Macaca mulatta: one gene and its partners. The protein of the gene in region 2 purifies or fractionates together with the protein of the main gene of each other region. This does not show direct contact. Links are inferred from orthologs where the notes say so. Each region holds a gene or a part of one and is shown on either strand. Other genes may lie near its edges.

Evidence for each region. The genes of interacting proteins can lie anywhere in the genome.
Region 1: the proteins of FBXW7 (region 2) and STYX purify together in Homo sapiens (affinity purification with western blotting; 4 studies listed by BioGRID and IntAct, with this or other methods). This does not show direct contact. The link is inferred for Macaca mulatta from reciprocal best matches to the Homo sapiens genes FBXW7 and STYX.
Region 3: the proteins of FBXW7 (region 2) and MTOR purify together in Homo sapiens (affinity purification with western blotting; 9 studies listed by BioGRID and IntAct, with this or other methods). This does not show direct contact. The link is inferred for Macaca mulatta from reciprocal best matches to the Homo sapiens genes FBXW7 and MTOR.
Region 4: the proteins of FBXW7 (region 2) and NAP1L1 purify together in Homo sapiens (affinity purification with mass spectrometry, with the first as the bait; 3 studies listed by BioGRID). This does not show direct contact. The link is inferred for Macaca mulatta from reciprocal best matches to the Homo sapiens genes FBXW7 and NAP1L1.

The regions. Positions count from the first base shown.
Region 1 is NC_133412.1:125,885,497-125,888,996, forward strand, and holds part of STYX (serine/threonine/tyrosine-interacting protein), read left to right. Parts: intron 1-1,086; coding exon 1,087-1,147; intron 1,148-1,881; coding exon 1,882-1,918; intron 1,919-2,308; coding exon 2,309-2,348; intron 2,349-2,440; coding exon 2,441-2,491; intron 2,492-3,500. UniProt on the Homo sapiens protein: Catalytically inactive phosphatase. Acts as a nuclear anchor for MAPK1/MAPK3 (ERK1/ERK2). Modulates cell-fate decisions and cell migration by spatiotemporal regulation of MAPK1/MAPK3 (ERK1/ERK2).
Region 2 is NC_133410.1:161,010,145-161,014,337, reverse strand, and holds the start of FBXW7 (F-box/WD repeat-containing protein 7), read left to right. Parts: upstream 1-1,393; 5' UTR 1,394-1,462; coding exon 1,463-1,963; intron 1,964-4,193. UniProt on the Homo sapiens protein: Substrate recognition component of a SCF (SKP1-CUL1-F-box protein) E3 ubiquitin-protein ligase complex which mediates the ubiquitination and subsequent proteasomal degradation of target proteins.
Region 3 is NC_133406.1:229,593,037-229,596,536, forward strand, and holds part of MTOR (serine/threonine-protein kinase mTOR), read left to right. Parts: intron 1-2,279; coding exon 2,280-2,528; intron 2,529-3,216; coding exon 3,217-3,317; intron 3,318-3,500. UniProt on the Homo sapiens protein: Serine/threonine protein kinase which is a central regulator of cellular metabolism, growth and survival in response to hormones, growth factors, nutrients, energy and stress signals.
Region 4 is NC_133416.1:83,219,170-83,222,669, reverse strand, and holds part of NAP1L1 (nucleosome assembly protein 1-like 1), read left to right. Parts: intron 1-281; coding exon 282-311; intron 312-816; coding exon 817-867; intron 868-1,597; coding exon 1,598-1,633; 3' UTR 1,634-1,641; exon of another isoform or gene 1,642-1,669; intron 1,670-2,348; 3' UTR 2,349-3,500. UniProt on the Homo sapiens protein: Histone chaperone that plays a role in the nuclear import of H2A-H2B and nucleosome assembly.

The DNA of each region.
Region 1 (3,500 bases), on a different chromosome or scaffold from region 2:
CCGGGTAACTGATCATTGAAGAACTGTAATTTTTAATGCAAAATTGTCCTTAAAACTAGTTTAATAACTTAGCTAATTGCCTATAGTTGTGTTAATAAACAGTGGTAATCTTAGGAATGCTTAGAAATGGAAGTTTTTTACAAAATAAAACAAGCTAACATATTAAAAATGCCTTATTTTTAAGTATTTTGTAAAGTGTAATTCAAGACAGGTGCTCTCTCAGCTGGTTTTTTGGTTTTTTTTTTGTTTTGTTTTTTGGTTTTGCTTTACTAAAAATTAGTTCAAACGGTGGATGTTTGAGTCATGGTTCCATAGACCATGCCTTCTGTTTTTATTTGTTCCTTCTCTTTTAGACTTTGGACTTCCTCTGAAATGTCCTCTGTAGTTTTATGAGCAGGGGTCACAGGACCACTTAGAGAACAATCTTCTGGTCTTAGAGAAATTGATAGAAATAAAAGAATAACATAACGATTACAGGTACCTTTGTCTTTATTTCTAGGTCCACTCTGATCTAGAGGAATGTATCTTCCTGCTTGTGATTTTTCTGTTTTAGCCAGATGGTTCATTATATGCCAATAAAATATGTATTTATTTTTGAGATAAGAATCTTGCTTTGTTGCCCAGGCTGGAGTGCAGTGGCCCAATCATAGCTTACTATATCCTTGACTTCCAGGCTCACACAATTCTACCTCAGCCCCCTGAGTAGCTGGGACTATAGGTGCACACCACCACACCCAGCCGATTTTTTAATATTTTTTAGAGATGGAGTCTCCCTCTGTTGCTCAGGCTAGGCTCAAGTGATCCTCCCATCTTGGCCTCCCAAAATGCTGGGATTACAGGCATGAGCCATTGTGCCCAGGCTGATGGATTTTTTTAAATACTAAAATATCAGAGATGTTAACATGGTGTTTCAAGTTTTAATGCCTTCAAGCAATGTAAAATCTACCACACAGTTCTTGGGAATATGATACTTTGAAAGTTGTTTTGCATTCTTGTCATGGTTACCAAGAAATAATGAGTTATTTTTTTAAAATACATTAAGCGTTTTACTTAAAGTGTGCTTATCACAAAATACTCTATTTTCAGATATTTAGTCCTGGATATCGCAGATAATCCAGTTGAAAATATAATACGTTTTTTCCCTATGGTAGGTACCAGTATTTTAAAAAATAACATTTAAATTTATTTATGATTTGACTTCTTAGTTGTGCTGCTTCTTTTTTCTTTTCTTTTCTTTTCTTGTTTTTTTTGAGACAGAGTTTCACTCTTGTTGCCCAGGCTGGAGTGCAATGGCACAATCTTGGCTCATCACAACCTCCGCCTCCTGGGTTCAAGTGATTTTTCTGCCTCAGCCTCCCAAGTGGCTGGGATTACAGGCATGAGCCACCATGCCCTACTAATTTTGTATTTTTGGTAGAGACGGGGTTTCTCTGTGTTGATCAGGCTGGTCTCGAATTCCTGACCTCAGGTGATCCGCCCGCCCCAGCCTCCCAAAGTACTGGGATTTCAGGTGTGAGCCATCACACCCAGCCCCTTTAATTGTGCTTGTAAAGCTTACTACTTTTACTTTGCTGTGACTGAAAATTATGTGATTGTGTTTTTTAAAAAAATGAATTATTTGTAGAAAAATTTTTTATGATCTCCAGAAATTTGAGGAATCATATTGTGAATATATTAGATTCAAATTAAATTTTGGCTTCTTTTTTTTTTTTTTTTGGACTTGTCTACTACAAGACAATTATTTGTAGCATTTTGGAAATTTGTGAATTAAGATAATTTTTATACCTATAAATTAGGAAATTGTTTTCAATAGGTTTCATTTTATTTCATTATATGCATTTATTTTATGCTTACATTAATCCACATGTCTTTTGCCTCCAGACTAAGGAATTTATTGATGGGAGCTTACAAACAGGAGGTAAATAATATTTCTTTTCCTTAACTAATGTTTATATTTTGATTATTTGTTAATTTTTTAGTTGGTATTTGTCTTAAATGCAGGATATGGAAGTTACAATTACATGTAGTAGCTTACTCCCAAATTTTTATTTTCCCAATTACTTGTTTCATTTCGATAGGCTTTCTGGAGTATCCCTGTAGACTGTTTTCAAATTCTCTGTGAGCTTTCAATTTCTTTAATAAGAGTCTGGTATATTCTCTACACAGCTAATAATAACAAATTGTAAAGATTTGAAAATAAACATCCAAGCGATTATAGTATATAAGGAAGGAGTTACTTTGGTTTCAATATATTTCAGCTGCTGACTCAGGTGTTTTTCTATTAGAATAACGAATTCATGTTTTTCAGGAAAAGTTCTTGTGCATGGAAATGCAGGGATCTCCAGAAGGTATGAAGTTAGAAATAATCTTTCTTTCTGTAACATTTAATTAATGAGTTGTATTTTCTGGTTGTTTTCTAAAATTGTTTCCCCCTCTTCAGTGCAGCCTTTGTTATTGCGTACATTATGGAAACATTTGGAATGAAGTACAGGTAAGAAAATACCCTAAAACCTAGCCACAGTTTAAATTCTCATTAAAATGAAGCTTAATGGGAATGGTTTGGAAGTTTGAAGTTCTTATTCCCCTGATTATTTTTCATGTAGTCATGTTTGATTAGGCAGGCCCTTATTCTATGGTTAGTCTCAACCTAATTTATCTAGTTGTATAGATATGCATAGGCTAATATGGAAATCCTATGAAAAACTACTTACGACAAGAGAATTGGTTGGTCTGAGTATAAAAACTCCTGAACACAAATGTTAGTGCTTGCCTTATTTAAAAGGCTAATTTGTCATGTTCTACTTTAACAATAGTTGGATGAAAAATTACCTAGGAATTGTTTGCAGCATCTGTTTGTAATTCAGAGTAGTCTTTCTTATCAAAAATTATCTTTTCCAAGCATTCTATATAGATTTTTTAAAAGATGGGGGTGGTCATGAGCTTCTTACCCCAAGACAAAGCAAAAGCCTGGCCAGTGTACAGTATTTCCTTTCTCAGTTTTTCTTGTTCTACAAATTAGAAATCTTGTAGTAATCATTGACACCTTTTTCTATTTCAGTCCCCTTTTATATTTAAATTAGAACGGGAAACTTTGCTTTAAAATATCTATTCTTAAAAGAATATTATTTGAATACAAATATTTATTTATTTATTTATTTATTTATTTATTTATTTATTTATTTATTTTGAGACAGAGTCTTGCTCTATTGGCGGGCTGGAGTGCAGTGGCATGACCTCGACTCACTGCAACCTCCGCCTCCCAGATTCAAGCAATTCTCCTTCCTCAGCCTCCCTAGTAGCTGGGACTACAGGTGCACGCCACCATGCCCAGCTAATTTTTGTATTTTTATTAGAGACAGAGTTTCACCATGTTGGCCAGGATGGTCTCGATCTCTTGACCTTGTGATCCGCCAACCTCAGCCTCCCAAAGTGCTGGTATTACAGGGGTGAGCCACTGCGCCCGGCCTGAATACAAATATTTAATTGCAAAAAGATTGAAC
Region 2 (4,193 bases):
TGAATATATCAAATATTTGATATATCTTGACATTTTGTATTATGGTAAGAAGAAATAAAAGACCTTCCTCAAATTTTAGGATATGGACTTCTGTTTGTTGATGTTGGTGTTTTATCATACACTGTTGTAAATCATACTAAAGGTTTTCTCTGAAAAAGACTAGAATTGACAATACTTCATTTGTTAACAGTTTCAAGTTTTAGATCACGGGTGCTTAATTTCTTGTGTGTGCACAATATGTTGGCATTATTTTATCTGACCTCAAAGATGTCCATATAGATACCAACAAAGGATAAAGTGTAAGAATAAATATCATGAAAAGATGCTGTATCAGATAAAATTCTAGAGCCAGGTTTAAAAAACATAAAGGTAAACATGCTTGATATGTAAAAATTGAGAAATATGATAAAAACAGAAATGTTTAAAGCATCTGTAATACCACTGCCTAAGATGCAGTTTATTTTGAAATGTTGTCTTCTAGTCTTCATACAGTTTAAAAATCATATTATAATCATTATTATTTCCAGTATTTTCCCCTTAGCGTAATATAATATAACATCCGTGTTTTAAAAAATGTTTTATGAACGTCATGTTTAGGGATTACACTGTATATATCCCATCTCATAGATTCCTTTATATTGAGCATTTGAATTTTTACTTTTATTTACATTTATTTTTATCTTTATATTTGCTTTTGTGGATAAACTGCAGTGAGCATCCTCTGTATAATTTTTTTTTTCTGTTTTAGGATTACTTCCTTAGGATAGATTGCCAGAAGTGGAGTTACTGGGTCAGAGGGTATGAACTTATGAACTTTTTTTTTTAAATAAATTTTTTGTTTCTGTCCAGTCATTTGTAAAAGAATTAAAATAATAATGATTATAATTGTTACCTGCTTGAAAACTGTGTCTGAAGGCAAGATTCTGTGATCAGAGAAGTTTGGGAAATACCAGGATAAAAAGCCTTTTAATCTGATTTACCTCAGCATTTCCCAAATTTAACTGAACACTGAAATTTTTTTTTGATACACTTCTTAAAATTTTGTGGAAGTTTTATATAGGATATAGTCTATGAACTACTGATGTAAAGTTGAAATTGTTTTATATGCTTATGTTTTATTGGTCAAAGGAATTAAACTATAAATCTTTATGCTAAAAATTATTAAAAGCGATTAATGTTGTTTACTATGGTTTTTGTGCATGTCTTTATAAAGTCTTATAACTTTTAAAATTGAAATGTTCTATATTGTTTACTAAAAAGCATTTTAATGCCTTGGTGGCATCAATACTTTTTTGCAATCATTAATGATATTTAGAATGTAGACATATAACATGAAAGTAGAACATAATATAGATTGTACAAATCTTGTTTTTTCCACTATTTTCCCCTGCAGAATGTGAAAACCTTTGCATCTTCTGATAGTCTAGCCAAGGTCCAAGAAGTAGCAAGCTGGCTTTTGGAAATGAATCAGGAACTGCTCTCTGTGGGCAGCAAAAGACGACGAACTGGAGGCTCTCTGAGAGGTAACCCTTCCTCAAGCCAGGTAGATGAAGAACAGATGAATCGTGTGGTAGAGGAGGAACAGCAACAGCAACTTAGACAACAAGAGGAGGAGCACACTGCAAGGAATGGTGAAGTTGTTGGAGTAGAACCTAGACCTGGAGGCCAAAATGATTCCCAGCAAGGACAATTGGAAGAAAACAATAATAGATTTATTTCAGTAGATGAGGACTCCTCAGGAAACCAAGAAGAACAAGAGGAAGATGAAGAACATGCTGGTGAACAAGATGAGGAGGATGAGGAGGAGGAGGAGATGGACCAGGAGAGTGATGATTTTGATCAGTCAGATGATAGTAGCAGAGAAGATGAACATACACATAGTAACAGTGTCACAAACTCCAGTAGTATTGTGGACCTGCCCGTTCACCAGCTCTCCTCCCCATTCTATACAAAAACCACAAAAGTGAGTATATTCATTATATTGTTAACTTGAGAAACTTTACATACCTATTTTAAGTAATGAAACTTTCCTCTCAGTCTTTGTATTACTAAAAATTAATCTTAAGATATGTAATAATAAAATGAACTAGTTTTTTGTTTTACAGAAGGTATTGGAAAGTATTAACAAGTAGAAATACTGATAATGGGACAATCTGAGTACAAATGGAGGGAAAGTAATTGAGCCTATTACTATGAAAAGTTATTAACATCAAATTTTTGTCTAAACCTTGAGTTCCGGGCAGGGATTAGTAGCTTGTGTGGGGTGTAGAGGTTTTGGGTGAAATATGATTTGTGTAAATCAAGTAATGAAGAAGCTTTTTATTTACAAAATGCAGCTGCTGGAGTGGGCTGTCTATTTACAAGTGTCACTCTAAGGCATAAATTACTCAAAAGTTGCCTCAAATTAGTTCTAGTTATTTATGATTTGAGAATTAGAAATAGTGGATATTCATGTAGAATAGACTTACAAGTTAAACTATATTTTGGAAAGGAACATTTTAACTTGAATAATAGCTTACTTGTTTTATAGACATTAAAATAATGTCTGTGGTAGTTCATCCTCTTACTCCTACTTGCTTATTTCTTACATTTTACAGTGATTTTAGGCCATAAACAATATACAAACTGATTTAACTGATTTGACATCATATCATTTAACCTAACTTGACTTGGAATGAAGTGTCTTACACACTTGGATTAATAATAGTTGAATTGCTAAATCATGTTTTACATCTGCTTGTAAAACCTTGACTTTCTAAAATGTGTTTGGCCCTAATTTACCTAGCCTGTCTGCAAGTCAGATTATATTTAGCTAGCATGATCTAAGAAGGACGTGACATCAAGTAGTGATTTTTCATCCATTGTATCATCCCTGTCTCAAGATGTTGAAGCAGTAGCTTTGGATCTCAGCCAGATGGCTCTACCGCTAACAACTATACACTGCTTTGTTAAGGCTCAGACCTTATATAGTGTCATTCCTCCCTTCTGTCCCCCCAGTCTTAATCCCCTTCTTCAAGGTTACTATATCAAAAGGGAGTTTATACAGCTCTTTTTTTCCTGAGGGTTCAGTTAGAGGAATAGGGGTTTAATACTTAAGTTCCAATTGCATTATCTTATTTCAGAAAGAGGTTCAATCAAAACTAAGCCTTGCAGAACAATGCAGAGTTATTGCTGATTTCTGCTACACTTTAAATTAAAAGCAAAAAAAGCTAGTTAGACAAAACTTTATCTTTTTCCAAAAGGAAAAGTCATCCTTATATTCTGTAGGAAACCTTCCAGTTCACAAGTTTGACAGGTACTTCATCTTTTCTTTACCTTCAAGATAAAATCATTAACAGAAATTTTATGTGTGTGATGATTACCTCTTTAAAAACGAAGTATACTGAATTTGTTAGTTTTTTTTCCTAGTGATTCTGAATCAGGAATAACAGTTATTCTTGTACATGCAAGATAACAAGAATGGACTGGGCCCTAACCATAGCAGGGATAGATGTGTGTATGCATTTGTATATATACACATGTACAATATAGATGTGTATATGCATTTATTATATAAGTGTGTATGTATACTTTTTGATATATTGTTGATCATGAGATGATTTGCCTTCATAAGTATGGCATGAAGAATACAAAGCTATTTGATTGCCAGGACAGTGATGCCCTTCTATAAGTACGATTTCAGTCTGAAATTTTTCTAAATGTTTTCCTTTTTGTCCATTCCTAAAACCCTTCTGCCAGAGTATTCCCGGAGCACTTTCAACAGCATTTAGAAAAGTCGCTTAGTACTGCTTTACCTAAAAAGAAAATGTCAATATTCTCCGTCTGTAGATGTTTTAATACAATAAATAGAAGCTCTCACTAGTTCAAGTACTTTATTTTGGAAGAGCTTTAAATTCTTGATCATTATAAAGTTAAGACACTTCTACAGACATTACCCTAGACCATAGTTTCATTCAAGTCTTAAACTTTGACTTTTGAGAGTAGAGGCATAAGAAATGAAATCCCATTTTTAAATGTTAATATAGGATTAGCTTTCTACAGATTTTACTCAGGATACCTTTCAAGTTTTATTTTTTGACGTTCTCATAAACAAACCCTGTGGACAGCTAGACTGAATTTTATCCGTCATCCCTAAATATGCTGCATAAGCAAATATGATATTAATGAGAAAAAAAGATGTTTAATTCTTCCTT
Region 3 (3,500 bases), on a different chromosome or scaffold from region 2:
GATCAGAAGCAGGGCCGCCTGCGAGACCCAGCACCCTGGCTGGCTTGCTCATGTCCTCCTGTGTGCTCGTGGTTACAGCTGAGCTTCTGTGGAGCTAGGCTGATGCTGTTAATTTGCTTCTTGAGTCCCTGGAGTCTGTCAGTCACAGGCCCAGGGAGCCTGCGTTTCCCCCTACAAGTTTAATTAATACAGAAAGATTATTGTGAGAAATACTTGTTACACCATTATTAGGTGTGTGGGGTGCTGGGGATTGCTGCTGTCTTATAGATTCTGAGCTGCTTGTTTTCCTGGGAGCATCTGGACACATGGTTAATCTCTGGAGCGTCATCTTCCCTTGGGTCATCTGTTCCTGCTCAGCATTTTTCTGATTTCCATCCTTGCCTGCTCCTCAGCTAAGAACTTAACTTTCTTTATTTTTATTGGAAAGATCCAAGTAACATCCTGTTATGTTACAGGAAACTTTTGAAAGAGATAAACAGAATTAGAAAATTTTTAAAAGATGTGATTGATGGAGGGGTGATTTTTGCAAGTATATATCTTTAGTGAGAACACACATTCTCATTTCTTTTTGAGAGGCTTCCTGGTAAGTAGGTGTGGCAGATGTCATTGATGTCTTTCCAGTATCTCCTTGGTTTGCCAATACTTTGTGAATTAATCCCTCTGAAATCTAAACTTGCATCTGAGGACTGCAGAAGCACTTATAATACAGATCTTACCTTTGTTTAGACATGCTTCATTCTGGTTTGCATGAATGTCCAAAGCTGTATGTCCAAAGCTGCATGTCCAAAGCTGGAAAATACATCCAGTAAACACTATTAGCTGGAAGCTTATTAATCAGAATTGCATTCTAACCAGAGTTACTTTTCTTCATTTAGCTTTTAGGAAGTAAGCAAATCACAAGAAAAAAGCTGGTTTCAGGAACTTTAGTTTTAGTTTTTAAAAGCATTTCCTAATGTGGGTCCCTTTAGTTTTATAATGTCTTCTACCGTCAACATCATGGCCCTGTGTGCATGCCAGGACTGTTTGTCTGGTTCACCTTGACCCCAGATCATTGCTAGGCACATAGCAGATATACAAGAGATGTTCGGGGAATAAATGAAGGTATGGAAAAACTGAAACCTGGGTCATTGTAGAATTCTTACTCACCAAGTAAAGGTTAATTGTGATCAGTCTATTCTGCTTAGATGAGAAAACGGATACACCTGTGTTCAAGGTTTTTGGCAAGGCATACAAATGAATTTCCTGATTATTCAGAAAGTTCAGCTATTAATGGGTCACGTAGTGTCCTACTGTCACTGCAGAGTTACCGTGCCTGGAAGCAAACTCTGCCTCACACTTGCTAAACCAAGCAGTGGTACGCTATAGAGTCACTGCCGCTCAGAACCCCAGAGAGACAGTAGTATTCCTTTATCCGAATAAGCACCAAGGGTTCGTCCATCAAGCATTGAGCTCTGGTTCTCTGTCAGGCCATGGGCTAGGTGTGGAGACCAGGTAGATGGGTGAGATTCTTTCTCCATCATGCTCCTATGCTCTTCATGTCTTCCTTTGTCCACTATCTGGTGACCTGTCAAGACTTTGCTCCCCTGAAATATTGTGATGACTGCTGCTTGCCCCCACTTCTGCTTGCCGCTTCTGCTCTCCCCTAAATGTACACTTTATATCCAATGCAGCTCTGCTTTCTGGGTGAAAGTGCCAGCCCCGTGCCTGCTTTACTGGCCTCGCTCTCACTCCTCGCCTGCGTGTATCTCCTGCGCAGTCACATCCATGGGCTTATTTCCCGTGAACCAATCTGTGCATCTCTGGCCTTATCTTCCCCCTTGCCAAGTAGTCCCCACCGCTGCTCTCTTGTTTCCTTCCTTGCCCTTCTGCAGCTCTCTTCCAGACCTACCCCAAATCCCTCTTCTTGACAAAGCTTTCCAAATCCCTGTCCTTGCTACTCCCGTTGCGCCTTGCAGAGTACCTAGGTCTTCAGGTTTGTGCGTGAGCTCCCCTAGAAGGCCAGGAGATCCCTTGAGGCAAGAGCTGTCTCCTGCTCCTCTTGCTGTGCCCTTCTCGCAGTGCAGTCACAGCAGTACATTATATAGTTAGTGCTCCACAAAGTCAGTGGATCATGTTGAATTTAGTAAAACAGCCATTTCTGAGTGTCTCCTTGAAGTGTTTGCTTTATGGACACAGAGAAGAGGCAGGAGCAGCTGTTCCTCAGCATTTACCTTGCACTCCTCTGAGCCCTGCTGTTGGTCATAGCTCCAGTGTCTGTCCTTGCCTTTCTCCCCAACCAGGCCTGGCACGCGTGGGCAGTGATGAACTTCGAAGCTGTGCTACACTACAAACATCAGAACCAAGCCCGCGACGAGAAGAAGAAACTGCGTCATGCCAGCGGGGCTAATATCACCAACACCACCACTGCCGCCACCACGGCTGCTACTGCCACCACCACCGCCAGCACCGAGGGCAGCAACAGTGAGAGCGAGGCCGAGAGCACCGAGAACAGCCCCACCCCATCGCCGCTGCAGAAGAAGGTCACTGAGGTACCCTTCCCTTCTTCCTTATTACCAACCAACCAACGTGCCAGGCTCTCTGAGAAATGGAACTGTTGTTAAGCTTAAAAGGAACCTGAGGCTGTATCTGAAGTGCCAGGTGGAGCTGGAAAATACTGCCTGTCTGCCATCCAGCACTGCCTGAGACAGGGCTTTGTGTGGATATTTGTGTTTGGGGAGCTGACGCAGCCTCCACGCTGAAGAACAAGCTCCTTGTCAAGCTTCCCCGTGGATGAGCTCATTCTCTACGTGCTGCACCTGTGTGTGGGTGGCTGTACGCAGCTGCAGGTCCACTCTGAGGATGGGGCTTGGGAGATCCATCCTCTGCCTTTTTCTCTCCACTTCCACTTCTTCCCCTTCTCCTTGGACTGTCAGTTCAGAATGCACCAGGGCAGCTGGCAGGCCCAGAGATCTGAGTGTTCAGAGCCTCAGCCCCATCTCCTCCCACCATCCCGTTCAGGAAGCCACCGTCAGCCCCAGATAATAACAGTTATGATACAGTTGCCATTTATTGAGTCTTTGCTGTGTGCCAGGTAATGATTAAAGCTTTTTCATGCATTAACCAATTTAATTGTTATAACCACCCTTTGAAGTAGGTACTATTAGTATGCTGTTATGCGCATTTTACAGATGAGAAAGCTGAGGCAAGAGTGTCACTAACACGTGTGTGTTCCAACAGGATCTGTCCAAAACCCTCCTGATGTACACGGTGCCTGCCGTCCAGGGCTTCTTCCGTTCCATCTCGTTGTCACGAGGCAACAACCTCCAGGATACACTCAGGTATCAGAGAAGGGGAGGATGCAACTCTGGTAGGCCATGTTAATGGCAGGACATAGAAGTCACACGTAAAAGTCCTCTTTCCCTTCCTGACCCTGATGAGGACACCCAAGATGGGTGTATGTGCCTTTTTTCTGCACTGCAGTTTGAAGAGTAACAGCTGACTGGGCCCCACCTGTGTGGGTG
Region 4 (3,500 bases), on a different chromosome or scaffold from region 2:
CGTACAGTGCATTCCACACTTAAGTGTGGGTGAGTAATATTTACAGTAATACTTGTCTGATCACCCATTTTATCCACATGATTGTACTCTGTTCTTTATTATAAATTGGCAGTGAGCTGAGTGATTATTGCAGCCACTATGTGTTAATTTATAATCAGCCTCTTGATAGGAAAGTAGGTTTTCTCTTTTAAGACACTAGTTTTACAGTGATGAATGTTACTAATGCTACTCTGAAATGTGTGTTACATTCACTCAACACATATGCTGTTTTTCCTTTTCAGTATGATGAAGAAGGTGAAGAAGCGGATGAGGTAATGTTTACCAAATGAGCAAATAATTCTCTGTGGTTAACACATTGAGAAGCAAATTGAATGACTTATGTATTCCTTTGCTATAATCATTCTGTGATTTGGGATAAAAACATTTTGGAAAACATGATTTTAGAATTCTACAGCCAAACAATGTATGTATAAGGTTTCAATAAATAAATTGCAAAACTCAGCAACATTTTTTTATTTCAAATAATTTTGTTCTGCTGCAGGGTTATCAGCTCTTTGAAGAAGTCAAAAGCTGCAGTAAACTTTTCCAACGTTGGCTGCAGTAACTATTTTCAATAAAAGCTGTCTGGATGTCTCAAGTTGTGTTGGGAAATTTTTCATATTAGAAGCTTTCAGATTAAATTGTATTATCGTCAAACTCTGTAATCATGAAAATCTGTTGACCCATAGAGTAACTTGTATTAAATTTTCCCTACATTATGAGCCAATTTACCTACTATGTACATACTTCATGGATGCATTTTGAACTTTAATATAGGAAGGGGAAGAAGAAGGAGATGAGGAAAATGATCCAGACTATGACCCAAAGGTGAGCAAAATTAGTGCTGCTTTCTATTAAATTTAAGACAGCTAAAGTAAGAGTTGGTGTTTCTGAATATCAAGTTTCTCTCCGTTAAAGTCTTTAATCAGTAAAGCCTACTGACTGGATAACTTTCTTTTTTCAGTCCCACTGGCATTTTGAACAGTACACATAATTTCAGTGGACCTTTTTCTAAGAAACGTTGTTTTTTGTTTGGACTTTGTACTTTTTATAGTTTCAGGTACAGTGCACCCTAGGATTCTATTTTAATGGGATAAATTATAACAGTTCTTAAGCATTAGAAAATAAACAAAGGTTTTTAAAAGATCTGGTGGTAGGAGTGTTCGGGAACTGGGGAGCAGTGCAGTTTGTTAGATCCTTCCAACTACTCTTACTCAGTCACTGAGAGTCCTTGTCTATTATTCCTTAAAATTTGTTATATTAGGATTAGCAAAAGCAAAGCTGATTGGTAATATAACTAACATAAATTGCTTGGTAACTTTATTTTTTAAGATTATGGTTTAGTGTGTCATTTTATGGAATTAATTCTACAGTGTAAAGTTTGAGCTTGATTTTAGCATTTCAGTGACTTGCTAATAAAATAATTTACCATCATTGTCCTATACCATTTCTTTTGACAACAGTGAGCTACTGTTATAATTAAGGCAGTAATTACTATTGAGAAATTCACTGAAGCAGGTAGAAGAAGATAGATTGACTTCTTGTTTTCCTTTAACAGAAGGATCAAAACCCAGCAGAGTGCAAGCAGCAGTGAAGCAGGATGTATGTGGCCTTGAGGATAACCTGCACTGTAATAGCCTAAACACAACTCTTATTTACTTACAGCCTTATGTTTTTGTATTTTCTTGGTAGACTAGGTAATTTTTTTTTAAAGGACAGGAAACTGATATTTTAAAGACCAATTTGTTCTACCTAGCATTTTAGCTAGTTTTTCTGCCAGATATGTTGAATGCACAAATTCTGTCACGCATGTTCATTCATTGCTACATAATTTGGTTCTTCTGGAATATTTTTATGTAGCTCTTGGAGTACAGCTATGAAAATTAACAACTGTTAAAGGAAATACCTTTTTTTTTTTTTTTTTTTTCATGATTTTTTCCTTGAAGAACCAAAGTATTTTTTCAGCTGGTTGTTGAATAGGGTTAAGTCCGCTTGGATTAGCTGTGCCTTTCATTACTTTGTTACAGAAATGCAGTGACTTATACTAAGATAATGTATCGTTAAAAAAAAAATTGGCAAGACAACGATATGGTTAAGAATTTCCAGTATGACCACACCCAATAACTGTATTAGATTGTTAGTGGATTATTGTGTTTTAGGTGACATAGTTAACTGTAAAGTAACCTGGCTCAGTGTAGTTACTGGTACCACAGTGAGGTGAATAAAACGGGATTTTCAGAAGTTAGCCTGAATTTACCTGTACTTTTAAATTTAACCTCTATTAACTAAGCATCTTTTCTTTGTGGTAGGGTCTACCTTCTGCTTCCCTGGAAAGGATGAATTTACATCATTTGACAAGCCTATTTTCAAGTTATTTGTTGTTTGTTTGCTTGTTTCTGTTTTTGCAGCCTAAAATAAAAATTTCAAATACAATTTTAGTTCTTACAAGATAATGTCTTAATTTTGTACCAATTCAGGTAGAAGCAGAGACCTTCCTTGAATTAAGGGTTATACTCAGTTTTTACCACATTATTGAAGAAAAGGGTAACAGCTTTGGCATGAGATACTATACTAATAAGCAAGTGTAAAAAGAGAAAAAAGAAAATCTTAAGTGATTTGATGCATTTTTTTTTTTTAAATTCATTTTCTTTGGGTTAGAGCTAGAGAGAAGGCCCCAAGCTTCTGTGGTTTCTTCTAATTCTTACTGCTTAAAGTATGAATATGTCACTTAAACCCATGCTTCTGTTTACTGTGTATTAAAATGGGTAGTACTGTTTACCTAACTACCTCATGGATGTGTTAAGGCATATTGAGTTAAATCTCATATAATGTTTCTCAATCTTGTTAAAAGCTCAAAATTTTGGGCCTATTTGTAACGCCAGTGTGACACTCAGCATTTTGTTCACACCACGCTTTGATAACTAAACTGGAAAACAAAGGTTAAGTACCTCTGTTCTGGATCTGGGCAGTCAGCACTCTTTTAGATCTTTGCGTGGCTCCTATTTTTATAGAAGTGGATGGATGCACTATTTCACAAGGTCCAAGATTTTTTTTCAGATATTTTTGATGACTGTATTGTAGTAAATACTACAGGGATAGCACTATAGTATTGTCATGAGACTTAAAGTGGAAATAAGACTATTTTTGACAAAAGATGCCATTAAATTTCAGACTGTAGAGCCACATTTATAATACCTCAGGCTAATTACTGTTAATTTGGGGGTTGAACTTTTGATGACAGCGAGGGTGGATTATTGGATTGTCATTAGAGGAAGGTCTAGATTTCCTGCTCTTAATAAAATTACATTGAATTCATTTTTAGAGGTAGTGAAAACTTCCTTTTTGAGATGTTAGTGTTAAGGTCTTGGAATGTGAACACATTATTTGTAGTGCTATCCATTCCTCTCCTGAGATTTTAACTCACTACTGGAAATCCTTAACCAATTGTAATAGCTTTTTTC